Arabidopsis thaliana: one gene and its partners. The protein of the gene in region 1 interacts with the protein of each later gene in a pairwise test. Each region holds a gene or a part of one and is shown on either strand. Other genes may lie near its edges. The genes, in order: AT3G44590, emb2004 and AT1G55880.

The links.
Region 2: the proteins of AT3G44590 (region 1) and emb2004 interact in a two-hybrid assay, tested with the Arabidopsis thaliana proteins (one large-scale study listed by BioGRID).
Region 3: the proteins of AT3G44590 (region 1) and AT1G55880 interact in a two-hybrid assay, tested with the Arabidopsis thaliana proteins (one large-scale study listed by BioGRID).

The regions. Positions count from the first base shown.
Region 1 is NC_003074.8:16,160,150-16,169,192, reverse strand, and holds AT3G44590 (60S acidic ribosomal protein family), read right to left. Parts: upstream 5,485-9,043; 5' UTR 5,309-5,484; intron 5,218-5,308; exon of another isoform or gene 5,215-5,217; 5' UTR 5,211-5,214; coding exon 5,123-5,210; intron 4,893-5,122; coding exon 4,672-4,892; intron 4,562-4,671; coding exon 4,535-4,561; 3' UTR 4,196-4,534; downstream 1-4,195. Other genes in the region: CYP71 (cyclophilin71), read left to right, coding at 1-176, 344-429, 518-606, 813-1,052, 1,145-1,266, 1,554-1,629, 1,758-1,865, 1,947-2,123 and 5 more; AT3G44580 (uncharacterized protein), read left to right, coding at 8,190-8,681. UniProt on the Arabidopsis thaliana protein: Plays an important role in the elongation step of protein synthesis.
Region 2 is NC_003070.9:3,456,687-3,468,872, forward strand, and holds emb2004 (RNI-like superfamily protein), read left to right. Parts: upstream 1-4,948; 5' UTR 4,949-5,084; coding exon 5,085-5,132; intron 5,133-5,215; coding exon 5,216-5,489; intron 5,490-5,708; coding exon 5,709-5,921; intron 5,922-6,056; coding exon 6,057-6,115; intron 6,116-6,216; coding exon 6,217-6,354; intron 6,355-6,551; coding exon 6,552-6,626; intron 6,627-6,733; coding exon 6,734-6,817; intron 6,818-6,927; coding exon 6,928-6,989; intron 6,990-7,094; coding exon 7,095-7,164; intron 7,165-7,350; coding exon 7,351-7,426; intron 7,427-7,523; coding exon 7,524-7,654; intron 7,655-7,771; coding exon 7,772-7,831; intron 7,832-7,922; coding exon 7,923-7,997; intron 7,998-8,086; coding exon 8,087-8,191; intron 8,192-8,290; coding exon 8,291-8,386; intron 8,387-8,481; coding exon 8,482-8,562; intron 8,563-8,653; coding exon 8,654-8,755; intron 8,756-8,835; coding exon 8,836-8,904; 3' UTR 8,905-9,100; downstream 9,101-12,186. Other genes in the region: AT1G10490 (GNAT acetyltransferase (DUF699)), read left to right, coding at 1-20, 115-202, 283-382, 462-514, 738-914, 998-1,035, 1,103-1,196, 1,274-1,453 and 7 more; CPISCA (chloroplast-localized ISCA-like protein), read right to left, coding at 3,474-3,616, 4,004-4,222, 4,474-4,654; Pol{lambda} (DNA polymerase lambda (POLL)), read left to right, coding at 9,278-9,388, 9,511-9,651, 9,846-10,163, 10,310-10,388, 10,468-10,598, 10,753-10,815, 11,015-11,194, 11,287-11,340 and 4 more.
Region 3 is NC_003070.9:20,894,553-20,905,073, reverse strand, and holds AT1G55880 (Pyridoxal-5'-phosphate-dependent enzyme family protein), read left to right. Parts: upstream 1-3,826; 5' UTR 3,827-3,933; coding exon 3,934-4,131; intron 4,132-4,240; coding exon 4,241-4,315; intron 4,316-4,482; coding exon 4,483-4,626; intron 4,627-4,721; coding exon 4,722-5,111; intron 5,112-5,215; coding exon 5,216-5,451; coding exon of another isoform or gene 5,452-5,455; exon of another isoform or gene 5,456-5,559; coding exon 5,560-5,782; 3' UTR 5,783-6,281; downstream 6,282-10,521. Other genes in the region: TIM50 (Haloacid dehalogenase-like hydrolase (HAD) superfamily protein), read right to left, coding at 1-144, 237-335, 426-530, 699-812, 902-963, 1,051-1,087, 1,267-1,364, 1,602-1,911; AT1G55890 (Tetratricopeptide repeat (TPR)-like superfamily protein), read right to left, coding at 2,514-3,710; AHG2 (Polynucleotidyl transferase, ribonuclease H-like superfamily protein), read right to left, coding at 6,715-7,453, 7,536-7,806, 7,895-8,021, 8,222-8,335, 8,411-8,730, 8,839-8,969, 9,044-9,411.

The DNA of each region.
Region 1 (9,043 bases):
GAATCTAAGAATGGCGGAACCACGATTCCGACTGAAGAATTGGCGGTGGTTGCGGTGCCACCTGTAGTAGAAGAAGAGGAGCCGATGGTCGGACCTGGACCAGCTCCACGAGGCAAACGCAAGCGTCCGCTTCAATTCGAGCAAGCTTATCTTGATTCGCTTCCTTCTGCTAATATGTAAGTATGTCTTATGCTTTGGAACCCTCTCTGTTCCTAATCGAATCAAGTTTTGGGGTTTAGGGTTTTAATTTGAGCTTATTGGTTTAGTATTGTTGTTGGTATATATGAGCTTATTATCTGTGAATTGGTATTGAAAAAGTAACTCTTGTATATTTTTTCACTAGGTATGAGAAAAGTTATATGCATCGAGATGTAGTTACACATGTTGCTGTTTCAGCAGCTGAGTTCTTTATAAGTGGAAGTATGGATGGTAATGTTTCTCATCTTTGTGATATTTATGATTTCATTCTGGTTTTGTAATGGCAAAGCATAACATATGTATATTTTGCATAATCTAGGTCACTTGAAATTTTGGAAGAAAAAGGGTGTTGGTATCGAGTTTGCTAAGCATTTCCGCTCCCATCTCGGTCCAATTGAAGGTCTAGCGGTAAGTATCGCGAGTGGTTTTTAAGATACTGTCACCTCAAATCCAGGCATATGCTCCATGTTTTGAAAGATTAGCTTTTTATTTGTTTATTGAATGAAGATAGTTGACCTGGCGGGGAAATTATAGTTAGACATGTTATGGTTTCCGCAATTTTTTTGTTTGTGTCTAGTTCTATTATCAACCAATGACTCGTTTCAGCAATGCAGGTTAGCATTGATGGTTTGCTTTGCTGTACAATCTCAAATGATCATGCTGTTAAAATATATGATGTTGTCAACTACGATATGATGGCCATGATCCGTTTGCCATATATTCCTGGTGCTGTTGAGTGGGTCTACAAGCAAGGGGATGTCAAAGCTAAACTTGCTGTCAGTGACCGAGACTCTTTGTTTGTGCACATTTATGATCCTCGTTCTGGTTCCAACGAACCCATTGCTTCAAAAGAGGTTTGTTTCAATCTCTTTTTCTTTTGTTGTTATTTCTTGACTCATCATTTTTTATCAAAGCTAACAGTTTTTTTTAATCTTTGTATACCCAGATACATATGAATCCAATTAAGGTCATGAAGTACAATCCTGTTTCGGACACAATGATCTCTGGTGACACAAAAGGAATCATTGAGTACTGGAGTGCAACTACATTACAGTTTCCCGAGGATGAGTATGTCCTTGTCTCACTTCTTATCAAAAACGCTTTTATTATTCCATTTCGGTATTGCTGTTTGTTTTCTATAAATTGGAGCGTGTAGGATAAGAGAAGCATACCTGTTTTTCTGCGTGTGGCTAATGTAGTTAAATATCATATTACTGAGAATGATGCAAAGAGGAGCCTGTAGTAGAAATACTTTAGTTGCCAACTTCTTAGTTGACCATCTTTAGAATTTCAGTATAGTTGATGGGCTGCTTTCATTAATGGTTCACAGGTTGACCTTTTACTTGTTGTTGTAGGGTAAACTTTAAACTGAAGAGTGATACAAATCTCTTTGAGATTATAAAGTGCAAAACAACAATCTCTGCCATTGAGGTACTTATTTGGCATTTAGTATCCTTGGTTTTTCTTTACATCCTTAGAATGCAGCTATTAGCAATTGATATGTCTGGTGAAAATCATAATGCAAATTTGGTCTCTAAGTTTAGTGAAATTCTTTTCAGGTGAGTCCAGATGGTAAACAGTTTTCCATTACAGCTCCTGATCGTAGGATTCGTGTGTTCTGGTTTAGAACTGGTAAACTGAGGCGGGTATATGATGAGTCACTTGTGGTAAGGTTACATACTCTATGCTTCTTTCCTTACATGTTTTCACGTTAATCTGTCATGGTTAATGATCCATTCCACTATTAGGTGGCCCAAGATCTGCAGAGGAGTGATGCTCCCTTATACAGGCTTGAAGCTATTGACTTTGGTAGAAGAATGGCAGTTGAAAAGGAACTTGAAAAAACCGAGAGTGCTCCGCAGCCCAATGCTGTGTTTGATGAAAGCTCTAATTTCCTTATATACGCCACTTTTCTTGGAATAAAAGTAAGGAATCCACTTATTGTTTTCGTTTTAAATTACCATAGACTAGCATAACAGTCTAGACATGATAAGTATCCTGTCTCACATGCACATGATACAATTAACGAGCTTAAAGACCTGGGATTTTCACCTTTACTTAGGTGATGACCAAGATATAATGTGGTTACTTCTTTGTACCATATATGAAAGTGGTTATACTTTCTGCCAATATAGTGAATTTAGAATAAAAGAAGCTTGAGATTTTTTTTGTAAATTTGGGTGTCTAAGGGGTAGTGGGAGGAGCTCCATTATCACTAACCCTCAATATCTATGTATTTTCAGCAGATCATTATGTAAAAGCGGACCAGTTTTTATGATTTGATTGTATCAGAACTCTTCCATGCGTAGTAAATGGAATCATGACAAGCAACTGCTAATTTCTCTGTCTACCTTTTTGTTCTCTAGGTAATAAATTTACACACCAACACAGTTGCAAGGATCCTTGGAAAGGTGGAGAGTAATGAAAGGTATCTGAGAGTTGCATTATATCAAGGTGATCAAGGAGGCAAGAAAGTTAGAAAGATTCCTGCAGCTGCAGCAAATGTAAATGAAAGCAAGGAGCCTTTGACTGATCCGACTATCCTATGCTGTGCCTTTAAGAAACACAGGATCTATATGTTCAGGTACGTGACTCATATTGTGCTAGAATGACTCATCTTTATGTTGTGGGAGAAAGAATTATTTTTTCGCACCTTTAGATTCTACTTTGTAGAAAGACCTCATATGTTTTCTCTAGATATCCCGAGAACTACTTTGAATTTATTATCAACAAATTGGTTTCTGCAGTCGGAGAGAGCCAGAAGAACCTGAAGATGCAAGCCAAGGGAGAGATGTGTTTAACGAGAAGCCTGCTGCTGATGAACTTATGTCTGTCTCAGATATTGGAAACTCAGCCACAACATCCCTTCCAGAGAACGTGGTATGTTTTCATAACCCACAATGTTGGTATCTATTTTACTTTTCATTACGTACTGTAATTTGGATCCTTAACACAATAACTCTTTTTAACTCCTAATCATCCAGATAATGCATACTACGCTTGGTGACATTCACATGAAGCTTTACCCAGAAGAATGTCCCAAAACTGTGGAGAATTTCACAACACACTGTAGAAATGGCTATTACGATAACCACCTTTTCCATCGGGTTATCAGAGGATTTATGATACAGACTGGAGATCCTCTTGGGGATGGTACTGGAGGACAGTCAATTTGGGGCAGAGAATTTGAGGACGAGTTTCACAAAAGGTAAACATTTCTTACAGGCTGCTTTGAGTTTAGCCATCCGTTTAGAAACAAATGAAATCTAACTTAGTTTGATACGTTGTTCTTTTACTTGGCCTGCAGTCTAAGGCATGACAGGCCGTTCACATTGTCTATGGCAAATGCCGGCCCAAACACAAATGGGTCTCAGTTCTTCATCACAACAGTGGCTACACCGTGGCTAGACAATAAGCACACTGTTTTTGGAAGAGTTGTGAAGGGAATGGACGTCGTTCAGGTATGATTTGAAAACCAAAAAGAATATTTTTACTTGTTGGCTTAGTGTGACTTAGTGCCTAACCATAAAACCAAATGAACAGGGTATAGAGAAAGTGAAGACAGACAAGAACGACAGGCCTTACCAAGATGTGAAGATACTTAATGTCACCGTTCCGAAATCTTAGCATCTTTGCTACTGTCTCAAAGATAGTGAACAATCTATGCTGATCCGTAACCCCGTGATTGGTTCTATGCTGGGAAGTTGTTCTTGCGGAGATGGATCGAACTGTGGGATATGTTTGTTGTACCCGAGCAGATCAGGTTAAGTTGGTGGCATCATCTTCTTGACACTAAACATTATTTTATGTTTTTGTCAAACAAATTTTATGAGAATGCTTAGTGAACAAAAAGACTTCAACTTCTAATGTTACTTCAATTCCTCTTATTTTCTTGAAATAGAGTTGATCTACTTTCTTCTAATTTATCCAAGCTTCATGGGTTTATGTCTGAAACGACAACACGACAACACCAATGTTTGAAGTTAATAACATAGAATCTCAATTTCACTTGGATTTGGATTTTTCTGTTTATTTGGGATCACTAAAGATAAACTTTTCCATGAGTGTATCAAATTCTAGCCCTCTTAGGCACTTATTTTGTGATATGCTAACATACTATGAACTAAACTATGTAAATTACAAGCTTAGACCAGATTCAACATGTAAATCAAACGGAAAACGATAAATGAATAACCCGCAAGGTCGCAACATAGTTGAAAAAACTCTTCTTGCTTCATTATCTAAGGAGTAAAATTCGTAATCCAAGAAGCAAAAACCAGAACCACTAAGAGAACAAAAAATCAAATCTCGACTCCTTTCCGTGGGGACAAAAACCTTACTCGAAGAGACTGAATCCCATGTCCTGCATCAAAGGTGAAGGATATAACAAAGAGTCAGATAAAGACCAATATCAAGACCATAACAAAGACTAAGTAATAAGGAAACAAAATGATAAAGAGAGAAATGCTTTACATCATCAGACTCTTCTTTCTCTTCCTTCTTGGCTTCTTTCTTCTCCGCAGGGGCAGCAGCACCACCACCACCGCTTGATGGAGCAGCTGAAACAGCCACACCACCACCAGATGGCACAGACGCTAACTTCTCCCTACCAGAAGCAATCAGCTCAGCAATGTCTTTACCACTCACTTCTTTCAATAGAAGCTCAATGCTCTCTCCATCAACATCAGCACCAACTACATAACAAAACATAACAAACAAAGTCCTTTAATGAATCATATACAGTGAACAAAACTATCTTCTGTTCTTATACTCTTCAACAATCAAACTAAAACTCTTATAGCTAAAACAAAGCAAATACAGAATCTTCCCAAATCATCATTGCTACTACTTCGCCGATCACAGTAACACAATCCAATAAAATCAAAACACATTCATAAACAAATTCAAAAGCACAGAAATTTACCAGCTCCGATGATATCTTTGATATTATCAGCAGAAGGATTAGCGTTTCCGCCCAAAACGGCGAGGAGGAAAGCAGCGGCAACCTTCATTTTTCTGCTTTTAATACAAAACCAAAACCAAATCAAATTACTCAGAAATAGAATTAAACACAAGGGAATCGATTGAGAGACATTGGAAGAAGAGTTACCAAGAAGATTTGAGGAGCAGGAAGCTACAAGCTTTTGGTTGTTCGGAGAAAGTGAAAACGAAAATGAAGGAAGAAGATGATGAGTTAATTATATATAGTTAGGGTTTTCTTCGGTTTCCGGTTAGCTACGGTTCCGGTGTTACCTTCAATTGTTTTTTTTTTTTGTGGGGTTCAATTATGAACATTTAGGTTTTTGAATATTTTAGGTTTTTCGATATTCCGATTAATCATTTGATTAACAGTTCTGTTTGGTTCGGTTCCCTTTTGATTTTGGTTAGTTTGAATAGGGGTTTTATTAACCATTCGATTATTTTAGAAACTTTGGTTTAGATACGGTTTGGTTTAGTATATTATTATGTATTTTTAGAAACTTCGGTTCGGCTACGGTTCTGCTTAGCCACACATCTAAACTGTTCATTACTCGATCACTTATAACTTTTTTAGAAACCGATCTAATCGATCACTAGAGTTTTCTCCATAAGCGAAAAACTGATTTATGGTTATTTATTGATGCTAATAACACGATATCTGTTATACTGGTAAGGAATATATTTTTGAAATTTAAATATATACAATCAAGTAATTTCTTAATTTTTGATGTCCAACAACCCATCAATTGGCCAATTTTCGCTCTTTATGTACGCTTTCCTCAAAGACAAATGCTAATCCAAATATATCTCATGCATTCACATTCAAGCAATCAATCATTTAATCAAAACCATAAACTATACGTTTATACCCTACGCAATCATTCACATTCTACCAAATCATCAAGTAATCACAAATTGATAAACCTTATGAACCTTAAGCTTAACTACTCTGAAATTAAACGCTAAACTATATGATATGTTGCGTTTTTGGTGTCTTAGGTCTCTTAGTTTTGAGTAGTTTGTCGTGTCGTAGTCTGTCTTTTGCGTCTTTTCGGTTGTGTCTTGAGTCATTTGCAGGTTTTAGGTGTTTAAGCGGAACACAAATGTTTTCGGGACTTATCGGGCTCATTTGGACAAGAAACGATAGCAGGAATCGAGAAACCGGGGTCAGAAACATTGGATCGATCGATCCCACCACTAGATCGATCGATCCAAAACTCATCGTCGAAGACAAATCATCCGCCAGCTCGGGATCAATCGATCCTAGGTGGAGATCGATCTATCCACCACTCATCCACCGAAGTAAAATGTCCGCCAGCTCGGGATCGATCGATCCAACACTCTCGATAACCAGACCGAATTTCCTTAACCGGGTTTATATGTCTTTTTCTGTATTTGGGTATAAAAAACCCCAGGAACTTAATTTATCTTTTTACGCTTCTTTTTCAGTAACATTTCTAAAAACTTTTCTGTAAGCACTTTTGGGGATTAGAGATTCATCCTTCTTGACAATTTGGAGAAGATTTCTAAACTCTGTTCTTAATTATTCTATTTGAATCATGTTTTCTTTCATATCTCTTTGCTTGATTTCTATTGCAATGTCTGAGTAACAATTGGGTTTTAGGGTTCTAAGTAGGAAGTCAATGAATTAGTAACTAAGCTGTCGTAGGGAATTCTCAATCTTTAGGTTCTTCAATTTATGTGTTCTTAATGCTAGAATAGGATTGATCACCTTGTTTTAGAACTTAGGTTTTTCTATGCATTAAAAGTGTTCGATAGAATGCCTAAACGAATATAAATTGAGCATTGTATTTCTAGCCATCGAAAGTTGACGTTAGAACGCATTGTGAACTAAATAAACCAACTCATTAATGCCAATTAGGAGACTACAAACGAAAGTTTAGTAGTTGAGTAGTCAAATTTAGTGGCTAGTATCTCGAGAGAGAGTTAGTTTAGAATTATGTTTATGTTTCAGAACGATTCTTCATAATTGAATTCTCTATTTTGTTTATTATGCTAATCTTTGTCTTTTGAAATACCCTAACGCCCAATGTCTTTAATCCATAATTTTAATCGTTTATTTTCTTGCATTTTAATTTATAATTCAAAAACCAAACAAACAACGTTTTTGCTTTAGCTAAGAACGAGTCTCGGAAATCCTTAGAGTATCTTTGGTCCTTGTGGATCGACCTCGCATATACTACCTTGCGGTTAAGTTTATCGAGCAATTACTCGAGCAATCAAGTTGGCGCCGTTGCCGGGGATCGATCGATACCAATGCGTCAACATCATCTGCTAGAACATCATCGATCCAGTCGTTCCTTCGAGCTTCAACATCATCAGCCAGAACGGGATCGATCGATCCCACCAGTAGATCGATCTCAATTAATCCAAACCGATTGGATTTCTGCTAACCGGAATTGAACCAAACTCCACTTAAATTGAACCGGAACGACGAACAGTTTATCACCGGATCAAGTTTTCCTTCGCCATTCAAGAGCTCCACTTCAACTTCTTCGTTTTTTGTTCATCAAGAACACCAAAATCACTAAACCCTAACTCTCTCAATTCTTAGTCGTTTTTGTCAAATTTGGTGCCTATTTCAATCAGACTTTTCCTCTTTCCATATCTACTGTTTGTTTTCTGGATCTGCAAAGGTATGTGCTCGACATTCCCTTTTTTTGTTCTGTTTTCAAAAGTGATAAATCTCCAATTCCTTGAATTTTCATGATGTTTATGGGTTATCTGATGCTAGCTTATTGTCTACGATGGTTTTGGAAACCTTTTTAAGCCTTTAATTGCTGGATTAAGGCCTAATTTGAGATCTGAAAATTTCCCCTTTGGTAAAAAACGGACATGTTCATACACTTTGAGAAAAACGGATTTTAGAGCTTAGAACTTGATTATTCATGATGCATTGTTTAGTTTTAATAACTAAAATACAATGTTTAAGTTCTTTGATTTATTTTTGAGTGATTTCTTGACTTCACTTTGTCTCTTTTGCAAAAGGTATGGGAAAGACAAACAACGCTGCAAGAACTTCTCGAGCACGCACGAGCACTTCCGGAGCATCGGCAAAAGAAGATCCTAACAAGCGTCCTGTTATCGGCATATGGGATAAGGAAGACACAAAGCTACTGGCAGCTTTGAAGCATATTGATGTGAGGCCAACGCGAGTCGCTTCCAAACCTTCTCTACATGTGCTTGGCATGTACGATTATGTCGTGATGGTGTTTCAAACACTCAGTATAGGACGGTATTGGGAAATGGATGAGGATGTATATCCTAAACTTGTGAAGGAGTTCATTGCCACGTGTCGCCTCACGTACGCGAATCCAGAGAACCGAAAGCGAGTCAAGGAAAACTCACATTCTTTCTTAACAAACAGCATTACAGCAAGACATTGTTTGAGATCTGCGACATGTATAGATTTACGAAAGGAGAAGCGGTTGAGTTCCCGAAGTTGTCTCCTGCGGTTGCTGATGACTTTTGGAACACGATAGCTACAGAAACATATAAGTCGCGCACATCGAAGATAACATATATTAGGAGTCCTATTGTGCGATATGTTTTTGAAGCTCCTCGGTAGCGTTCTGTACTTCAAACCGGTGATCACAGCTGTGCCTGAGACCGAGTTACCACTACTTTTCTATGGGGTCAAACATCGACTAGGCGTCTACTCGATCTTCCAACTCCCAACACTAATGTAGCTGCGGTTTTGTGTGACACATTGGTGAAGATTAAGAATAATGTTCCTACATCAGCCGTGCAGAGCATTTTAGCTTGTACTGCACTTCTCCATTGTTCCTCGGCTGCAATCTAGACCTCTCTAGGGCTGAGTCATCCATTAAACGAGAGCGAATGG
Region 2 (12,186 bases), on another chromosome or scaffold:
TGTCTTCCAAATCCTGCTTGGTATGGTATTTCACTTCATATAAATAGAATGTTGCCATCCTTTCTTGCCAACTAGTGATCTAGAAAATGATTTCTATTTTTCTTGCATTTGTAGCCATCCTCTGCCAAGTCAGTGTGATCTTTATTATGTCAACCGAGACACCTTATTTTCTTATCACAAGGACAGTGAGTTGTTTTTACAGGTAATAATAGTTGATTTTACAACCTACGTACTTTTTGCTACCTATATTTTGTTAATAAGGCATTAAGTGGTATTCTACAGCGAATGATGGCACTTTGTGTCTCTTCTCACTACAAGAATTCTCCTAATGATCTTCAACTTTTGTCGGATGCTCCTGCTCATCATTTGTTTGTGTTGCTCGGTATGCAATTGTTCCTCCTTTTCATAGCTAGAGATAATCATCAGATTTAGAGTATTGCCTTATTTTCTTTTTGGCACAGGTCCTGTTGATGAGTCCAAAAACCAGCTTCCTGACATACTGTGTGTTATTCAGGTATCGATTTCTTACTTTCTGCTCTGCTCTTTGAAATTGTTTGTTTGGAGAAAAACAGTTAGTTGGACTAAACAAAGAATAAAAGCAGCTATCAGTCTGCTTGAATTGTTTGTTTGCAGCAATTTTGTTTTGTAAAATCATGAATCTCATATCTTGTCGTTCGTATGTGATTGATTCTGGATGTAACTGGTCTTAAGTATCCTTGAAATTGATATTTATGCAGGTCTGTCTCGAAGGACAGATATCTCGGAAATCAGCTGAAAAAAGTTTAAGAGAAGGTCATTCACCACATGGAGATCAAATACCATGGAAGTTCTGTGAACAGTTCCGGGACGTGGTCTTTCCAAAGCTTTCTGGTGCTCGTATAGTACGCATAGCAGTCCACCCCAACGCTATGAAGGTAAAGTTTCTTAGTCGCCTCATTTTTTTAGTCTTGTAGGTTTCTTGTGAGATTTAACAAATTCTTGATTACATTCTATGTAGATGGGATATGGGTCTGCTGCGGTTGAACTCTTGACCAGGTAAATGCAATGATTACGACTTAGATGATTAATACATGCAAATATTTTAATTGATTGATACGTGCAGATACTTTGAGGGTCAGCTAGCTTCAATATCAGAAGGTGATGATGAACTGGAAGTGGAGCCTTCACCAGTCAGAGTTACCGAGGCTGCTGCAAAGGTTCTTGATTATTTTAATCTACCCTTGTAGGGTTTTGCATCATGCATTCTAGTTCTTACTTGAATTTTTTCCCTTAGGTTTCTTTGCTTGAGGAACAGATAAAGCCTCGTGCCAATCTTCCACCTTTGCTGGTTCCTCTTCGTGATCGACGACCTGAGAGACTCCACTACATCGGTGTCTCTTTTGGGCTTACTTTGGACCTCTTCCGTTTCTGGAGAAAACATAAATTTGCTCCATTCTACATCAGTCAAATACCAGTTGAGAATCCCTCTTTCCCTCTTCTCCTGAATTACTAATTCTAGTGTTGTCTAGCAGTTCATAACACAATTTCTAAAATATGGTTGGATCAGAGTGCTGTGACTGGTGAGCACACATGTATGCTTCTGAAACCATTAACCTTAAGCAACGATGAATTCGAAGTTGATGAGTCGGATGAACTGGGCTTCTTTGCTCCCTTCTATAAAGGTTTGTAAATTCTTAACAGGAATCAAATGTTTCTGTAGCTTTTAAGGATGACAGGTTTTGTTTTAATGTTTTGGCAAATTCTTCTACTCTGTTCAGATTTCAGGATAAGGTTCTCTAAACTGTTGAGTGATAAATTCAAGAAGATGGATTATAAACTTGCAATGAGGTTAGCACTAATCATATTCTCTCCCCATGCAAATTTAGACTTTTTCTGCAATACTATTTTAAGATGATTAGACTTTTCTTGGTGCGGTATTATTGTGTTGATAATATACTCGTTTCACAATTTTGTTAGTGTTTTGAACCCTAAGATCAACTTCCCAGAGGTTGATTTGACTGGAAATTCACCAGATGGATTTTTGAAGAAACTCGACGGAGTTCTTTCACCTTATGATATGGAGAGATTCAGAGCATACACTGCCAATCTCGTTGACTTCAATCTGGTTAGATTCACTCTCTGAGAGTCACTTATTTTAGGGAAATATGTACTATAGTCAGATATGTAATCTGCTTAAATAACTACACAATCATAAGATTCTGGTACAGACTCAGACAAATAATACTAACCGCATGTTCAAGCTTGATACTCTGTCTTTTCGTTTGGTTTGGTAACTATTTTTACTTTGTTATCTTTTCAAAGGTTTATGACATCTGCAAAACTCTAGCTCATCATTATTTTCAAGAGAAGCTCCCAGTCTCGCTGTCGTATGTTCAAGCTTCTGTACTCCTGTGTTTGGGCTTGCAGGAGTCAGATTTCTCGAGCATCGAGGTATAACATATCTACTCTTTAAAATAAATCGATGATCTGGACCAGCTGAATTATGTTTCACCACACATGTGGAGATAAATTTCTTGACACATCTGGTTGTTCTAAATTGGATCATGACGTTGACTTACAGAGACAAATGCAGTTGGAGAGGGGCCAAATATACTCTCTTCTATTGAAGGTTGGAAAGAAGTTATACAAATATTTGAATGGAATCGCAACAAAAGAGCTCGAATCCACCTTACCTCGGTTGAAAGATGTAAGTTCAGATGGGAAAACTTACATAACATTTCCATGTTCTTTTGCTCAGTCATAATATTCCCTCATTTTTGAAAATTAACAACCCTAAGCCCTAAATACATACACGAATATCGAGCTGACTGAAATGATTCATGGTTGCTTTTGGTTGCAGAGAGTGCTTGAACCTCACAAAGTATCAGTAGACGAAGATCTCAGGGAGGGAGCAAAAGAAGTTGAGGTAATCGCTTCTGTTTCCGTGCATGCGTATATTTTGTTTTGGTTTCCATGTAAAATCGAAACACCACTCACACTCTCAATGCTTGGGTTTAAAGGAACAAATGAGGGCAAGGATAGAAGAATTGTTGGACCCTGAGCTACTTGACCAATTTGCTATTGGGGACAAAGAAGCTGAGGCTTTGCAAAAGTCGAAGATCTCTTCAAGTGGTCTTATCAGTATAGAGTCCACCAAAACTGATAACAAGAAAGAGAAGCCAAGTGGTTTTGATAAATCAGCCAAAAAGAGAGGCAATGATAAGCATTCCTCCACATCCAACAAAAAGAGAAGAGCCTGAGATGGAGGTTGATGTCAACAATTGTTTTTTTGTAACAGTGACCAGAAAATTTTGATCTTTGGTCTTTTTACGAATTTTTGTAACCAGGTTGAATAATTTATTAAAATTATGGTTTGATCATACAATTTTTTTAAAAAAACTTACAGATTCTGTTTGAGCATTCTACAACCATAATACAAAGTTTTCTATTAACTATAACTATATTGTTTATCTACTGCAATGTGTGAAACTGGTTCACATCTCGGCAGCAAAAGACTTCCCACATCCACAGGTTTGTGTAGCGTTAGGGTTCGAGAAAGAGAAGCCTCCACCAATCAAAGCATCGCTGTAATCAAGCTGCATTCCAAAAAGAAAGAGCATGCTCTTTGGATCACAAACTGCAAAAGAAGTGAGTACAAATTAAAAACCTGAGCCTTCAATTCACAGATGTAAAAATACTTTACTGCAGAAGACAACAAGAGACTGCAAAAGACAACAAGAGACTAGAAGTCTCAGTTCAAGAATCGGCAGCTAAGTAGTATATAATTCAAGCTGCACATCAAAAAGAATCAACTGACCATCTACTTGACAATAAAACTTTAGCCTATTTGATCGAACAATCTCAGCCTTTTTTTTATTTGGATGCATACTTGAACACAGAAACTGACATTCATATTGTAAGTATGGCAAGTCTACATCATCAAGAAACTAGCTGATCTTACTCTCAGACCTTATTATCTCAGATTAGAAGAGTTGATCCTACATAGTGATGGAATAGTTTTTACCTATAGTGAATCCCTGGTATTCGATAGTGGAATCATCTGGTCTTGCATTTGCTCTGTTTTCAAAGTCCATCGTGTAGGACATACCCGAGCATCCTCCTTGTTTGACTCCAATTCTCAAGCACAAATCTTCCCCACGTTCTGATCTCATCTTACTCAGATGCTTAAGTGCATTTTCTGACAGAGATATCGCCGGCTTCAGTCCCTCCATTGCAGGTGCAGCTGAGATATTCAAGAGCACAAGTCACTACACTTTTTGAATTCAAGAGCAGAACCTCACTACACATATCTAAGTAACAGCTATTACCATCTTTTTAAGAATTCTCAGACATCACCAACGAAAGTTATCAATTTCAATAGAAAGTTTCTAATTTTAAAACCAGAATGGCAATAACAACAAAAACAACCCAGAAAAAATAAAAAGGACTCTCATAGGAAAATAAAGCAGAGCAATTTTGTGAATCAATTCGAACCTGGAACCGAAGCGGATCGAACAGAAAGGCGGTTTCTCCGATTGAGGTTGAGATTCACATATGACAAAGAAGGAAACGAAATCGAATTACATGAAACCACAGAACGTAGACTTGTGTTGGAGATCTTTAGACCAAGAAAAGTTGGATTTGAAGACGTCGTGATTCCAGTAGCGAAAGCCATAATCTTCTGAGAATTGAATCGCCGAGCTGAGGAATTAATCTCTCTGCTGATTCAAATGCGTGTAGTAGAAGAAGACCAATGAAAAAAACAAATCTTTTTGCATAACAATTTTTTAAGTCCACATGTTATTTGTTTTCAGGTAGGTGATTGATTATTTTTGTTATGAACCCTAATAAAGTCGTTCTCTTTCGAATCTATCGGGTCATAAATTTAAACCCGATTTCGACCCGGTGGATAGTCGGGTCACACCCGTACCTAAAGGAATACACACACACATAGCGCGAAGGAAACAAACTTCATCTTCATCATCGTCTCTTCTCTTCTACTCCAATTCGTCTCTTTTAGTCTCTTACACTTTCCTAATTCTTCAGTGGTTGGTTTTCACACAGCGAGAGTTTCAAGCGTCTATGCGTAATTAAGCAGCTCCTTAATGGCTTCTTCTTCCACCAGCTCCCTCAATCTCCACTCTCTCCCCAAGGTAATTCTACTGTTCATCCTTTGTTTTTTTTTCCCAATTCTTGTAGCTTCTAAATTCGGTTTCTTTCTCTGTGAATTTTGAAGGCTTCTTCTGGGTTGGGCCAATGGAAGAGTGGGTTCCGGTACGAATTGTTGGGTAGCTCCGTTTCTAGGAACCGATTGTTTGTTTCTCCTGTGGTGATTCATCACCGAAGTCCGAGACTTCCGGCGATCAAAGCGGCGTATAACTCAGATGGAGGCTCGAAGCGTAGTAGGGTTTATAAGGAGTCACAAGCGGCTAGTGGTTTTCCTAATGCTAAAGTGCAGCAGATTGCGTCTTCCGTCTTGCCCTTGGGATCATTTGCTGTCGTCACTTTCGGTACGAGCATTGCTAGGAGAGCTAGTTTTGTTTATCCGTCACTTCTCAAAACTTGGACTAGTATTACTGTGTTTTCTTCTTTCATGTGGAAGTAATAGAGCGGAAATTAGTTTGCTTGTCATGTAATTCGGTGATTGCTATCTATACGAGAATAGTAATGATAAAAGTTTCGTCTTTTCTCTCAAATCTTCTATACTAATTTGTGTTTTCAGCTGACAGTTTTGTGGAAAGTGGTTGGGAAGTTCATGTCGCCTAAGTCTCCAAAGACTTCTGCTGGAGAAAACAACTCTTCTACACAGGGAGTGAAATGGTCGATCGGGGCCGGTACTAATTTGTTACAAGGATTTGCTGCTAAGGTTGATAGAGAGGCCAAGCAGAGGCTTAATGAATTTGCAAAAGAACTTAGGTCCTTCAGAAGTGTTGACATGTCAGGTGCATTGAATGATTTTAACTGTTATGACATTACTTATTACTGATTTACATTAGAATTAAATGTGATCTGTAGTGCCATCTTCCTTTTGTCTTAATATACGCAAATATAGCTCACCTGTATATTTTATCTTGCAGGATGCAACTTTGGAGATGAAGGATTATTCTTTCTTGCTGAAAGCCTTGGGTATAATCAGGTTATAGTTCTCTCCTTCTTTCACATCTGCTATCTACCAACTCATTAGAGTCCTGATATTCTTATGTTGATTGACTAACCATACCCATGTTTGTGTTTCAGACTGTAGAGGAAGTCAGTTTTTCTGCAAATGGAATTACAGCTGCAGGAGTTAAAGCCTTTGATGGTGTTCTTCAATCAAATATTATGTTAAAAATTCTTAATCTTTCTGGAAACCCTATCGGTGATGAAGGAGCTAAGGTTAGTGGAAATATGATATACTAGTTTTAAATTTAACTTCCGGGTGTCCAATGGTAGAAATTCCTCAGTTCCATCAAGAGAAGAGATCATATCGATTTCTGCTTATATCTTTAGCTCTAAAATCACATGGAACTTATTCTCTATGTATACGTTTCTGGCTGAGAATGGTTTCGCTTCATTTTTTCTGGTTATGGCAGACTTTATGCGCTACACTGATGGAAAATTCTAGCATTGAGATACTTCAGCTGAACAGTACTGATATAGGAGATGAGGTTTGTTTGAGCAGATGCTTTGATTTACATGCTTTTCAAGCTCCTAAGTTAGTCACAATCCTTCAAATTGTTTTCATACGTTAAGTAGTTCCAATGTTCTTGCGCAGGGTGCAAAGGAAATCGCAGAATTGTTGAAGAGAAATTCGACCTTGAGGATTATTGAGCTGAATAATAACATGATTGACTATTCTGTAAGTTTTTTCTGTTCATGTGTTGTACAGTTATATTTCAGATTGACATACCAAGTTTATGAATTAAATCTGTTGCGTCTTCTTCCCTTCTTTTTTTGAAATGGAGGTAGGGATTCACAAGTCTTGCTGGAGCTCTTCTTGAGAATAATACAATACGCAATTTACATCTCAAGTGAGTTTAGGACTATAGATGGATATATCTTTTGGGCGTGCTTTTTTTATTTTGTCTGTATAGTTCATATCCCTGACATACCGATTTATGGATAATCTGTTTCAGTGGAAATTACGGTGGTGCTTTGGGTGCCAATGCTTTAGCTAAAGGGCTTGAGGGTAACAAGTCTTTACGGGTACAAACTTTCCTCATGTCTCTTTCGATGTATATCGTGTGCCATTTCTATATTAAAAGAGACATTTCATAGTTAGATCTGTTATCTTATATGATGCATTAAAGGTGATTTCTGATGTCATCAGAGACAACCAATGAATAAAGGTCATCAACAGTTGATTTATTCCCTTGGCCTTTCCACCTGCAGGAACTTCATTTGCATGGAAACTCTATTGGAGACGAAGGGACTCGTGCTTTGATGGCTGGTCTATCTTCCCACAAAGGTTTTCCAATAGAACACTTGTCATACGTCTATATTAACTCTTCCGTACCTCTACTGTAGAATTCAGTAGTTATACCGAGATGCATTTTCGTGTGCAGGGAAAGTGGCTTTGCTAGATCTCGGCAACAACTCCATTTCCGCAAAGGGTGCCTTCTATGTAGCTGAATACATCAAGAGAAGCAAGAGCTTGGTTTGGCTGAACCTGTACATGAATGATATAGGTGATGAGGTACATATATATCCAATTTATAACAATAATCTGGATTGTGTCTGTGCTTCTCTAATATCGGAAAACCTTGTCTCTTTTTGCTCTGTTGTCTATCTTAAAGATTTTCAATGGTTTCAGGGAGCTGAAAAGATTGCAGATTCTCTGAAGCAAAACCGTTCAATTGCAACCATTGACCTGGTGAGAAGTGACCATCTTCTCCAGCCTCCCTAAGTTTTCCTTGCGTCCATATCGAGCTATTTGTTCTGCTAACACGTTTTTGGTAAAATAGGGTGGAAATAACATCCACGCGGAGGGAGTTAATGCTATAGCTCAAGCTCTGAAAGATAATGCAATTATTACGACGGTCAGTGCCAAAAACCCTTCTCATCTTTGATTCCTTGTTTACGTATAACTAGTATGATAATGACACTACCACTCTCAATATTTCCTCAGTTAGAGGTTGGTTATAATCCCATAGGACCAGACGGAGCTAAAGCATTATCTGAAATTCTCAAGTTCCATGGAAATGTAAAGACGCTCAAACTTGGTTGGTGTCAGGTAAAGCCTGTCCATAACTCTTTATCTAGGAACAAAAGTATTTCTTCACAGTTACTTATTTCGTTTTGTCATGGTTCCTTTCATTTCTTATTCCTGCAGATAGCTGCCAAGGGTGCTGAACATGTTGCAGACATGTTGAGATATAACAATACAATCTCGGTTTTGGACTTGCGGGCAAATGGACTTAGAGATGAGGTTCCTGCAGACAGATTTTATGAGTATCAGATTTGTACTTCTAATATAGCTACGAACTATATGTTTTCATAATGTATGTGGTACGTTATTTGCAGGGAGCTTCCTGCTTAGCTCGAAGCTTGAAAGTAGTTAATGAAGCTCTGACATCTGTGGATCTAGGATTCAATGAAATACGGGTAAAAAAAAAGCGCTACTTCGTTTATCAATACTGTGTCTTCTTTTAAGACTTGTAAGCAGGTCAATCTTATTATTTTGCCTCATTTGTAGGATGATGGAGCATTCGCCATTGCTCAAGCATTGAAGGCCAATGAAGATGTCACAGTTACATCGATAAACCTTGGGAACAACTTCATCACCAAGTTTGGACAGGTAAGAAACATATGGTGCAATGGAGATAATCAAATCTTTCGCTCGACATTGCTGAGAAATTTCCCTTTTGTGTTATCCAGAGTGCGCTCACGGATGCTAGAGATCATGTTCTTGAGATGACTGAAAAGGAAGTAGAAATTTTCTTCTAGGAGAGACATTGAAGTGAAGAAGACTTTGTCACTCTGTAATTTTGCACCATTAGTTGTTGTTTCATTATTTATGACGTTGAAATGATTCAAGCGAGAGATAAAACATTTGTTGTTCCTTACGGTGAGATTTAATTTTAATTCAAGGAAGTTTTCATGAAAAATGGTGTTGACTAACAAAAGAGAGGCATTTTAAGTCAAAGTTGGTCGTTGAATGAGGAAAAAATTCATTCGGTTTAGAACAGGTTATTTCGGTTTGGTTCCGATTCGGTTCGTTGAAACGAGCGTAATTGCCTAATTGGGGTATTCCTGCTTTGAAAGACATATACTAGTTTGGTGGACAAAACTCGAGTGAGTTACGAGTAAAGCGAGAAAAATGGCGGCAAAGCGAGGGAGAAACCGGTCGCCGTCTCCGGACCCGGAAGGGATGTTCGCCGGAATGGTAGTTTTCATGGTTGAAATCGGAGTCCAGCGTCGTCGATTGCAGGTTTTACTCTGAAAATTTTGTTCAGTGTTATTTTACTTGCATCATCTTCGACAAATTTCCTTAACATCTTCTTTTTAATTGTTGCATGCTATGTCTGTAATTTTCTCTCTATTTGAATGAAGATCTGGAAGCAGAAGCTGGTTCAAATGGGTGCAGTGATCGAAGAAGATCGGGTAACGAAGAAAGTCACTCATGTTCTTGCCATGAATCTCGAAGCTCTTCTCCACAAATTTGGGAAAGAACGTCTCTCGCATTTTACAGCAGTAAGTTGGTTTTTCGTTCTTTTCAGTTTTTACTAAAAAATGGATTTCGTCATATAGAAAAAACAATCTTTTATAACTATCTGTTGTGTTGTTCATGAGTTTTCTCTACGATTAGATTAATTGGGTACAAGTTTTATCTACGAATAGAGATTATCCAGTGTTACAAGTTTATATACATTGGTTGTTCCTTGCAGCGCCTTATGCTTTACCAGTGGTTAGAAGATAGCCTAACTTCAGGAGAGAAGGCTAATGAAGATTTGTATGTTCTCAAAATTGACTCAGAAGAAGTTGATAAGCCGAAAAAGTCTTTGCCTGCAATAAGTGGTAGCGAGGATCAATCTTCACCTCAAAAAAGAACCAGATATTCTCCTGATGCTGGTGACTTCAAAGGCGTTGAAAGTCATAGCAATACACAAGGATCACCGGATTCACCAACAAGTTGCAGTGTTCCCTCTACTAGCGCCAGTCCTGGAGAAGGCATCGCAGAGACTCCCACTAGTCCACAATCAGAGGTAAGCCTGAGTGACTCCTTTGCTGATGCATCCTTTTGGTTCTTAGAAGTTAACTAAACAAAAACCTGTTTTCTATATCTGCATTTTCAGAAAGAAATAATGTTGTTGATATTGGAAGTTCTCATTGATCTTCTTTTGATTTGTAGTCCACATCGGTGTACAAACCACCCGATTTGAACAGAAATATCACTGAGATATTTGGAAAGTTAATTAACATATATAGAGGTACAATCTCTGGTGTTTGTATTCTAGACTACTCGCTTATAGTAAGTAAGTAACAATACTCTTTCTTTTTTTTCAAAAGCTTTGGGTGAAGATAGACGGTCCTTTAGCTATTACAAAGCTATCCCCGTCATTGAAAAGTTCCCCACTAGGATTGAAAGCGTTGATCAGCTCAAACACCTCCCTGGAATCGGAAAGGCAATGAGAGATCATGTAAGTTGAGAAATGCTTCAAATGTTTTGTCTAGGTTCTGTGTGTGGGTGTCAAAACTGCAAACACTTACCCTTTTCCTAGTGCATACCTATAACCTTTGTTTTGATGTATTTCTGTGAGAACAAAGTCTTATTCTTCTACCTGAATTTGGCAGATTCAAGAGATTGTGACAACAGGGAAGTTGTCCAAGCTTGAACATTTTGAAACAGATGAGAAGGTAATTTTGAAGTCCTTGGTTATAGTTATTTTGCTATCTCCCATTTTCAATTAGATACAAGCTCACATGTAGAGGCCATTTGCTTTTCTCTTGTTCCTTTTTCTCTTTAAAGAAAAATACTGTCAATGACCGAACTGGAGCTAGAGATGTCTGATATGTTTTGTTTACCACTATAAATGTTTCATTACTATGGTTGAAGGTTCGTACAATCAGTTTGTTCGGGGAAGTTTGGGGTGTCGGTCCTGCAACTGCACTCAAGCTATATGAGAAAGGACATCGCACACTAGAAGACTTGAAGAATGAGGATTCACTAACGCATGCACAGAAGTTGGGGTTGAAATATTTTGATGATATCAAAACACGAATTCCACGTCAGGAGGTGCGATTCTTAAACTTCAACGTGAATTTTGTTTGTCTTTATTATCCTTCTTGTAATTTTCTCCTCATATTTCTTCACTTTCTGTATTGTAGGTGCAAGAGATGGAACAACTTTTACAGAGAGTCGGCGAGGAAACTTTGCCTGGCGTATGAACTATTCAGTTTATCGGTCTGCTCCATATTTGGGTGATAAAAGTTTAGTGAAATCCTAACCAACATCTTTACTGCAGGTGAATATTGTATGTGGAGGATCATATAGACGTGGGAAAGCTACTTGTGGAGATCTGGATATCGTTGTCACCCATCCTGATGGACAAAGGTACCTACAATCTTCTTTCCTCATCTTCCTGCGTTAGTTTCCTGTAACAAAGTTTACTTAAACTGTTTTTTCTTATTGTCCTGACCAGTCACAAGGGATTTTTGACAAAGTTTGTAAAGCGTTTAAAAGAAATGAACTTTTTAAGGGAGGATCTCATCTTCAGCACCCACAGTGAAGAGGTAAGATGATCTGATAAAATTATTTAAGAGAGGATCTCATCTTCATTGAAAACACATTACTTCAGTTGTTTCAGTATCTTATAAAATGATCTCTTTTAGCATTAGATAAAGCTTTGTTCTCTCAGAGTTGCATGTGTAACAAAAATTCTTGTTCAATCACAGCTCCTCAATGATTTCCCTTATTGTGCAGGGTACTGATTCAGGCGTTGACACGTATTTTGGTTTGTGCACTTATCCTGGTCAGGAGCTACGGCGCCGTATCGATTTTAAGGTAACACCTGAAAACTCCTAATGTCACACAATGCAGAAAAGAACTAAGTGGGTTAGTCAAAGATAAAAAGGACAATACCATGATTGATTCAGCTATGTCTAGGTTGATCTCTTCCCGGAAGATCATTCAATAAATAGTCTTTTTTCATAGGTCTATCCAAGGGATATCTATTCGTTTGGACTCATAGCCTGGACAGGGAACGACGTGTTGAACAGAAGGTATGG
Region 3 (10,521 bases), on another chromosome or scaffold:
TATCAGGTCAACTAGGGCTGTGTCATCAGCTTCTAGTTTGTAAGGCTTGATTGGCACGCTATTTTCTGGCTGAAGGGTTGATTCAAAGGCATTTGCGCTAACAAACAGAATCTTCTTCGGATCTCTGTTCAGCTTTGACAGATCCTGCAGCAGGAATTTTAATAGTTAGTTGAGAAACAGTTACTCGGGCAAGTCAGAAAGTATGCTTTGACAAGATAAGCTAGCTGCTTACGTACCCTATAGTGCTTTCCATTTTCATATTTAGTAGCGCCTCTTGCTAGCTTATAACGTATGTAGCCATTTGGGTCTAATTTCTCACAGACCGGGAGTACATACTACAAGTAATGAAACAAGCGTTAGTAGTCGCATTACTATGATATTACAAGCAAAAAAGGAGAAAAAAGAAAAACCAATTGGGACTTTACCATCTCCATCTGGTCAGAATACACGACAATCTCATAGAATTTCCCAAGATGCTCCAAGAATGCATCGACACCTGGTCTTTTGAATGTCCTCCACCCTCTTTCCCGCTAGACATTTTTGTAAATGAAAAGGCAGGAAAAGTTAAATACAGCACTACTTAAGAAAACAAAGTAGTTCACCAGAACTGCTTTGTTTCATAACATAGATACTCTGAGTCACATATTCACATCTATGATGCAAGTATTTTGATGATCAGTAAATAAATGAAATGTTACCTTCCAGTCAGTGTAAAGCAGTGTCTCATTTAAATCAAGAACTAGAGTGAAGACATGCTGTTCTGCGGGGTGCAGATCCGGAAGAAGCTTTTCCGAGAGAGGTTCCGTGAAGCCCTATAAGGAACCAGACAAAAAATAAGAATTCTAGAAGAAAAAAGAAGATGCAAGAAAAAGAAAAGTTGTGTCTCGGTGAAAGGACGTACTTTCACTTGTTCCTCCACAATTTCCCTAAGCTCTAAATACTTATCAATGGCTCTAGCAGAACCTGATCAAAATTCAAGCAAACCAACTCATGCTATGCTTAATTAAAGACATACTATTAGTTATGATGACAGAGGCGCAAGAACTATACCTGTCATTGCAGCAGAGTACAACTTAGTCTGATATTTCTGCAGAAAGATGAGTATAAAGGGTATTAATTCAGAGAAGCTTATAAACAATACCTTGAAGCAGAGAAACATGGCAGCACGCATTTGAAAGCCAGAGACTAAAGAAAGTCAACTAATACAGAAGCAAGTTATGATCAACATTAATTTGACAGCGACTCAAGGCTACCAAGCTTACTCACATCAATCACATCAATGCCAGAAGATTTAATAACTGGTGTCTTCGTAGCTGATTCTCGGAACGCCTTAGTCTTTTCATTCACTTCATCTATCGTGTAAGCTGCATAACGAAACAAACAAGTATAATCAGAACTAAAAAGAGTCAACATAACGAAGAAAGACACAGTTCTACCAAGTGAAGAACACTGAATTCAAAAGACTGATATGTGAAAATGTAATGCAATGCCACGATTAAGCAAACCATAACACATTTTTACTCGCATTTCACAGCAAAAACAACTTTGTACTAGAAATCTACGAGAGGGAAAAAAGATAATTCATGAATGCAAGTACATACCAAAACTTGCGTAACCAGTAGCAGCGGTAGCACCAGTGAGTGCCCAGAGGAGTGCGTAACCAAGATACTTAAGACCTTTCCTCTCCTTTCCCGTCGCAGCCGCGGCAGCAGCTTCCACTTGAGGAGGAGGAGGAGGTGGCGGCTGATTTGGCGGTGGAAAATCAGAAAACATCGACTGGGTAGAGGTGACTCCCGAATACCTAGATGTAGAATTCGTCGAAGATGCTTCCGCAGAGAAACATCTCAGATTACGAGATCTGAGCTTTGCTAATCTTGGCAACAGGCGAGATCGAAGAACAATAGACGCCATTTCCGATTTCGGCGTTTTCTTCAAACTCTGTGAATGATGAATGAATCGCAGGGTTGAAGTAGGGTTTTGGAATTGATCGGAGAAAAGGAAAATTAACAGATGGACTGTTTGGAAACAGGTTTTATGGGCTCGTTTTAACTCTCTTATCCACTGTTTGGTAGTCGGTTTATTTCTACTCCGATATTTTTCTATTTTTTTTGCTGTTTTTTTTACTTGTTTACCAAGAAGAGAATCTATTTTATTTTATTTTTGCATTTCGGGCTTTTAATAACTAATTAATGAAGTTATTTTACACTATTTATTTACCAAATAAAATGAAAATATTTTTCCAACAAAAATAATAAATTCATTCGTGTCAAAAAGAGAAAACAAATAACCAAAATTTATTAAATTTGTAGGGTTTCTTCTGCCTAAACCTCGACTACATGCTGTTTTTTGCACCAGTGAAATAAGCGAAACTACATAGAAAGAAACAAGTCTTACTTCCACAGAGGAAAGTTTAGAGAAGTAGAAAAGCCACAAAGCAACACCAGCAAATACATATAGCTTAAGCTGCTCAGACACAATTCAACGAGACACTTAGTGAGAGAGTAGCAAATGACTTACTCTTCCTGGGACGGCAAATTTAGCTTCAACTTTAAGAAATCATTGGTCTTTGCAATCTTCACAATCTCCTCAGCTTCTTCTCTCTTAGACCCTTTCACCAATTCATCAACTAACTGCTGCAACGTTGTTTGACCGACAAGATACCGCTTACTGAATGTCTCCTTGAAGAGCTCAATCGCAGACTCAAAGTCACCTGCTTTACACATAGCAGGAAGCAATAAAGCAAAGGTAGCTTTATCAGGACGATAACCATGCTTCACAATTTCTTTGTACCACGCTTCAGCTTCGTCCATTTTTCCTTCGTTGATAGATCCTCTAATCATAGCATTGAAACTGAAAACATCAGGTTTGAGCCCACTAGCCTTAAGTTCTCCAAAGAGATTTACTAGCTCTTTCGATTTCGCCTCATTGGCTAATCCAAGCAGCCTAGCATTGTAAGTCCTGATGTCTATTGCTACATTCTTCTCCACCATTTTAGCCCATATCTCTTCCCCTAGCTCAAACTGTCCCTTTAGATACGAAGACAGTAAAAGTGTGTTGAATGTAACTATATCAGGTTTTAGTCCCTTGTTCTCAATCTCATCAAGCAATGCAACAGCTTCAGGTAAAGAATCCTTCTCACACAATGCCTTAATCAAAGTATTGTAAGATACAATATCTGGTTTGATTGATAACTTTCCAGGTAACTCATTGAAAAGTTCTTCAACCACATCGAATTTCTTGGAAAGTCTATATGCACTAAGCAAGGCATTGAAGGACAACACTGACCTCTTGCAGTCTCTGTTTGGCATTTCTTCGAACACCTTCTGTGCATTTTCAAACATGCCGGCTTTTCCATACAGAGAAATGATCCTCGCCGCGAATCCCTCTTTTGACATGTCGCGGTACTTCTTCTGCTCCTCCAAAATCTCTTCGACATAGTGTAATCTCTTTGCGGCTACGAGACGGCGCACGGTTCTATCGTACACGGCTATGTTGGTCCGGAACCGCTCCGACTCACATGCCTTCTTGAATTTCTCCACGATCCGTTTGGGGTTTCGTTCGCCATTCACGAGACTGGTTAGTGACTTTTGAGGAGGCGAGATTGCGGCAGTGACTGCGGTGGGTTCGGAGACTACGGTGGCGGCGGAGGAAAAACGGCGGATCGGGCAAGTGTTGAAGGTGCCACGGAGAACGCGAGATAGAGACGACATCGTTTTGGGAGTGAGAGCAAAGGGTTTCAGCCTTCAGGAGACGAGTTTAAGAACAAATCAAATGAAGGACGCATCTGATAATTTAAAAAATGTTAGTGCCTTATTTTTAACTAAAGGAAATATTGGGGGCTAGAATAACAAATAATAGAAATAGTGTTGTTTTGCCGACGACCTAATTTTACTTCACCGGTTTGATTACGGGAGAAGGCGAGCTTGAGCTTCAATGGCGCCTGTTAATATGACTGGCGCTGTTGTTGCAGCAGCGGCGTTGTTGATGCTTACTTCTTACAGCTTCTTTTTCCGTCTCTCCGAGAAGAAGAAGAGGAAGGAGAAGTTGACTATGAGAAACGGGCTTGTTGATGCCATTGGCAATACTCCTCTGATTCGTATCAATAGTCTCTCTGAGGCTACTGGATGTGAGGTTTTTCTCGATGTTCTTTTGCTATTTTCTGTTTGGTCTGACGAACTGATAGTGTGATTTATGAGTTAAAGATGTAATTTTCATTCTACTTGTTTCGTCTGGTGATCAGATTCTTGGGAAATGCGAGTTTTTGAATCCAGGAGGTAGTGTTAAAGATAGAGTTGCTGTCAAGATCATTCAAGAGGTACACTATGATTAGCATTGTAAAGGTTTCAACTTTTAAAAGTTTTTTGATCATCATAAACCTCTCTTAACAATGTCAGTGATTGAATCATCAGCTTGGCTATTTATATTAGTGGTTTTTGAAATCGAGAAGCAAGTCCATTATGTTTTTTTTGTTTCTCTGTTTAGGCTTTGGAATCTGGTAAGCTATTCCCTGGAGGAATTGTAACTGAGGGTAGTGCAGGAAGTACTGCCATTAGCCTTGCTACAGTTGCTCCGGCTTATGGGTGTAAATGTCATGTTGTTATACCTGATGATGCTGCTATTGAAAAGGTTATATCTTTTAAATACCTTGATGATGATTCAAATTCCCTTGTATGCATTATTGTACATACACTCAAATTTGTATCGTGTTGGACTTATTTTAGTCTCAAATAATTGAAGCCCTTGGAGCTTCTGTTGAGAGAGTGAGGCCAGTGTCAATAACTCACAAGGATCACTATGTCAACATTGCGAGGCGACGGGCTGACGAAGCAAACGAGTTAGCATCAAAGAGAAGACTAGGGAGCGAAACAAATGGCATACACCAGGAGAAAACTAATGGTTGCACGGTTGAGGAAGTGAAAGAGCCTTCCTTATTCTCAGATTCAGTTACCGGTGGCTTCTTTGCAGATCAATTTGAAAACTTGGCAAATTATAGGGCTCATTATGAAGGTACTGGCCCTGAAATCTGGCACCAGACTCAGGGTAATATTGACGCCTTTGTTGCTGCTGCGGGTACAGGCGGGACTTTAGCTGGTGTTTCAAGGTTTCTTCAGGTATAATTACTCAGGGCTTATACTAATCAAAGATGTAAGAATGAGTAATTCGTGGATGTTATAAGCAAAAGAAAAACTCATAACTTGTTGGTGCATTTATACAGGATAAGAATGAAAGAGTTAAATGTTTTCTGATTGATCCTCCTGGATCTGGTCTGTACAATAAAGTAACACGGGGAGTGATGTACACAAGAGAAGAAGCTGAAGGGCGTCGGCTAAAGAACCCATTTGATACAATAACAGAAGGGATCGGAATCAACAGGCTTACTAAAAACTTCCTGATGGCAAAACTTGACGGTGGTTTTCGTGGGACTGATAAAGAAGCGGTTGAGATGTCGAGGTAGTGCTCATTCCTTTATATGTTTTGACATAACTGTTTTAGAGAGTACTGATAAAGATTTCGTAAAAGTTGGATCTTGATATCTTTCTCACTATATTATGTTCCCAGGTTTCTTCTGAAGAATGATGGGCTCTTTGTTGGAAGCTCCTCGGCTATGAACTGTGTTGGGGCAGTAAGGGTGGCTCAGACCCTTGGTCCTGGTCACACAATTGTCACCATTCTTTGTGATAGCGGAATGAGACATCTAAGCAAGTTTCACGACCCTAAGTACTTGAATTTATACGGGTTAAGTCCAACCGCTATCGGATTAGAGTTCCTCGGCATAAAGTGAAACTACAAATCTGTTACAATATCTTCAGATCAATCAAGCCTGGGTGGTCTGCAGTGGTTTTGTTTTGATTATGTTTTAGACTAAGGGTGATATATTCTTGGTAAGACTTCAGATTAGAAGACAACAACTATGTCTAGAGTCAACGGAAGAATGTCAATGCAACAATGCATGTGTCTGACCTCTAAAACTCCCATAACTGCATCTTACACCTGTCTTCTCAATTGTTTACAAGTCCCGACCTAATGGGGCCCCTTACAAGATTATGGGAAACATGTATTCAGATTTTGTCTTTGTACCTATTAGATTTTGTCTATGTTCAATGCATTAGACTGGAAAACTCAAAAGTGTTGATAAACATAGATTTCCATGTTTTTCCATAAATAAGTCGGTTGTGTAAGGTCTCATGATCCCAATAATGGCAAGAAATGGAGTCAATAAGACACTATTGATCTTATCACTTTCTTTCTTGAAGAATCTATGCATGATCCCAATCTTGTTTCTCTCTAACGTTCTCCACACGATTGCCGTGTGTAACAAGGAATCCAAATCTTATCGTCATGATCAGGAGGAGCTTAAAAGTCTGGAAACGGAAACCAACCTACATGAAGAAGAAGAGGGTTTGATAGAGATCTGTCTGGTGAGAGAAGCAAAGTTGGAGAGTGTGAAGAAACGTTGGCTGAGTAGAGAAGATTATTACGAGGAGATGATGATCATGGAGATTTGGGAAGAACTTGAAGCAGAAGATAACTTGATTGAGATTGACATCTCCAACAGATCAATTGTTTGACTTTATTAGTACTGATAGTTCTAGATGTTTTATCCGCACATTATTTCATATGTTTCATTATCAAAATTTTGGTCATCGCAAAACATATTATCTTGTATTATATTATTGCGTTTCACGTTGACAAAAAAAATGTTAGATGGCATAGTTAATTACTCGTAGCAGTTTCGACTTCAACTCTATTGGCCAAAAACGCATCAATCAAATCCGATGCTTTGTGAGTCACAGTGACTGTGTTCTCCTCTCTTGTCTCAGTCTCGCATTGTGCGTTGGGTCTTGTTCTTGATTTGACACCAACTGTTTCAGCTTGGTCAGAGAACATGACCTCTGAGACGTGTGAGCTGCAAATCTCTTTGTATGCTTCGTAGTCTGCAGCTCCAGTGTTTCCTCCTTCAAGGATCTTGGATAAAGGGTGAAGAACTGAGACTGGACCGTCGCTTGACTCCAGCTGCCGCTTGAGTGCTAAGAAGTCCCAGACAAGTTCTGAGTTCTTAAACAGGACAAAAACCGCAGAGTCGTCCACGTGGTAGACAGAGGTGACAGAAGCAGAGCCAAAGGCTTTGCATATGCATTCTTTGATCCCTCTCGCCTTAAGTTTTCGTGGGAAGTTCCAGATGAGGACAATGTTCTCGTATTTGAACTTTGAGACTCGCCAGTTATCTGCATTACTATGGCCTGTTCGAAGGTCGATGATATCACCTCTTGTCCAGCTGAGATAAAGACGGTTGATGTACTTTTCAAGTTTCTCGTTCTGGGCAAAGTCATCTAACTGCGAATGCTGTTTGAAGTCAAAACCGAGATGATTGCATGCCTGCGCAAAGATGCAACCTGTCATGAAAGCATCATAACCGGCTTCGTGTTTTCCTCCTGCATTCCAGTTAGAACACCTGAAATAGAGAAAACAGCCGTTAAAAGCAGTTTAAATCAGAAAACAGTCAAGTGTCATGCCAAAAATAGGGAGGAACAAACCTAACGTTGTCTATTTCAACGTCAATATTGACACGCTGCTGAAGAAACGAGTCAGAGCTTCTTGAAGAAAACTCGATTTGCGGACATAACGAGGAAAACGCGGAAGACAGTGATGTACTGGACTTTTTCATCCGCTGATGCAACATTGGATTCACGTTTAAGAGTATTTTGGTGTCAACAATATAAGGAAAGTGACTGTTAATGGAGGCCACGAATTTCTCAGCTGTTGAAGGAAGAGGACCCACAAATTTGCTGTATACATGTGCAATATCTGTATCAGATGAACAAGATGTTAGAGTTAGGCATCTTTAAGTTACAAAACCTTCACAAACGTATAGAGAAGCAACTTGCTAGTTTACCGAGGAAACAATTGTGACCAACGATCAGCTTTTTCTCTGAAGCAAGCAGATCAATCACTTGACGGAACCCGATTGCAGATTGTATTTTTCTTTCTGCCAATCTCTTGCGTTCGTCCTTTGCCTCCTTCTGTGAAAAGAGACAGTAATGGTATCTAAATCAAAGAAGGCCTTTAAGTAGAAGAATCAGTTACTACACTATAGCTACATCATCTCTCGAGCCTGAACTTTGCTATCATCAAATAATTCACTTCAACACTCTCAGTTAAAATCCAAAGGACATGTAATGTTTAGTAACAAATCTTTCCAGCAACGTAAATGCTACCTTACCATGAGGTTTTCCTTGTCGGAATCTGAATCAGTATACACAACAATGTCTCGTGAAGAAGAACTTTTATCATTTGAATGTATGTACACAAGATCTCCAAAATGCTTTCTTAAAACCTACAAAGCCAAATCCAAAACCAACTGATTAAAAACAAATAGCCTGAAGAAAAGATGTAAAACAGAGAGCATTACCGAGTTAAGAACTCTGAGCTGATGAGAAGTGAAACCCTTCAGACTGAGAGCAGGACGCATATGGTGAAACACAGTTTCCATACTCTGGTTTGAACCATTTGAAATCCTCGGAAACTCAGAGGACGCATTCCCACCATGTAACAGGCCAGACCGCCATTCATTCAGCAATTTCTCCATCCTTGCAGCGAAAAGAACATCTGCCAATCGCACCAACTTTAACTCTTCAGTTTCACCCGATGAATCAATTCCGTCCTCGCCGTGTAGCATTTTCAAACGCTTACTTGCCTCTTCCTCTTCTCGTCTGGACAAATAAGATATTCCTGGGATTATTTAAATATATGTGAATTCCTCACATTCTGGAAACAAACTTGAAATTGCTACACTTTTTCTCTCTTTAGAATCAAAAATGAAAAGGAGAAAGGAAGCACCTTCATGTATGCAGGTGTTGAAATCAAACTGATACTTGGCAAGAAAATCCATTGATGTAGTCTGACAGAGAAATTCATGAGCTGGTGGATCAAATGTGAGTTCTTGACGAGGAAATACAAAGAAATTGTGCCTGCCCCCAAAACGAGACCCGTTTAGTCAAAGCTACACAATTGAAGCTAAAGAGAAAGAGAAAGAGAGACTAACGGGTAGGACACGAATGACTGAGTACGAGAATCCCAACGAAAGGGACAGACACCAAACTGAACGACGGCGAATTTCTCGGCGGAGTCTTTGACTTTGAGGTATCTGACGTCGTAGCGGTCGAACTCTAAGGAGTCTCGCCACGGAGCGCTTGTCACGCCAGTCATCTCAAGGTCAATCGCCACGAAATCTGCAGCCTTTACGAGTGAGCGTAGATCATTCAGCGTCGTCTCGAAGTTCGACCTTGTCACATGCTTCAACGGAAAAGCCGCCGTCGCTGAAGCTGCCGTTGAAGTAGTAACTGTCTCCGCCGCAGAGGAGCTGAAGCTGCAGACAAGAGACCTCAAAGGCCATCGCTTGTGCCGGCGCATTTTTGAACGGAGAGAGAGAGAGAGAATCAAACGACCATTTTTAGGTTTTGCTCTCGGTGGAAGGAAAGAGGGAAAGATGATGATTCCGAGGAAACGGTACCGTTTTGTGAATTTCAGTCTTTCGAAATATACACTTGCACAGCCTGCCGTTTCTAGGTTAATAAATACTGCAAACATTTGTCTTAACATGACTTGAAACAGCGTGATGTATTTTATTTTCCCGATGAACAACAACAGGAACCAAATTCTCGCCACTGCTCTCTCACACAATGGCTATTGCAGAAGAAGTTACTGTCTTTGCTGAGACTAGCTTGGGAACTCGAATCGTCATGGCGGTTCCTCTGGATATCACAGCAGCAGATTTCAAGAGTAAGCTCGATACCACCCTCTAAAGAAATTCCCTTTTGGTCTTCTCTTTCGAATGTTGTTTCCCGTAGCCTACTGTTCTTATTAAGTTTTTGGTCTTCCTCGGTTTCTCAATTTCGAAACTTAGCTTATAGGTGAACTGATAGGATTCTCTAATTGAATCTTTCTGGATGTATAATGTGTTGGTCTGTGAGGAAACTGATTTGCATGCGCATTTTGGGATGAAAATTTTCAAGGTTGTGAATTCCTATGGTGAGCACTAAAAGAAATGTTCTTTTCACATTGCCTTCTGCATCATTGGTGTTTGTTTTCTTTTGAAGTTCTGTCTATTACACACTTAAGGACTGGCAGGGCACAGTGCATTGCTCATTTCCTTTGAATGTGAATCATTGCTTATATGTTACTTCATGACATCTTGAGATGAGATTGGACATGTATTGTTTTTCTTTTTCTTCCTTTTGCCTTAAATTTGAAGGTTAATGATCTTTCGTTTGTGTTACACTTTTTATTTAAGAATTCAGAGCATGTATCAATGCAAAATGCTTTCTTTTTTTTTGCAGGAAAACTCGAGAAGACGCATGCAAGTTGCTTATCGAGCGTAGGGGAGATAGAAGTTCATGGTCTGATGGTAATGAAAATGAGCTAGCAATTTTATTTTCTTTCTACTCCTGTGCTTTTGATTTTGTTAACCTCAAACCATTGCAGCAAACTCATTCTAACTTCTCCTTCTCTCTTAGTATAGGT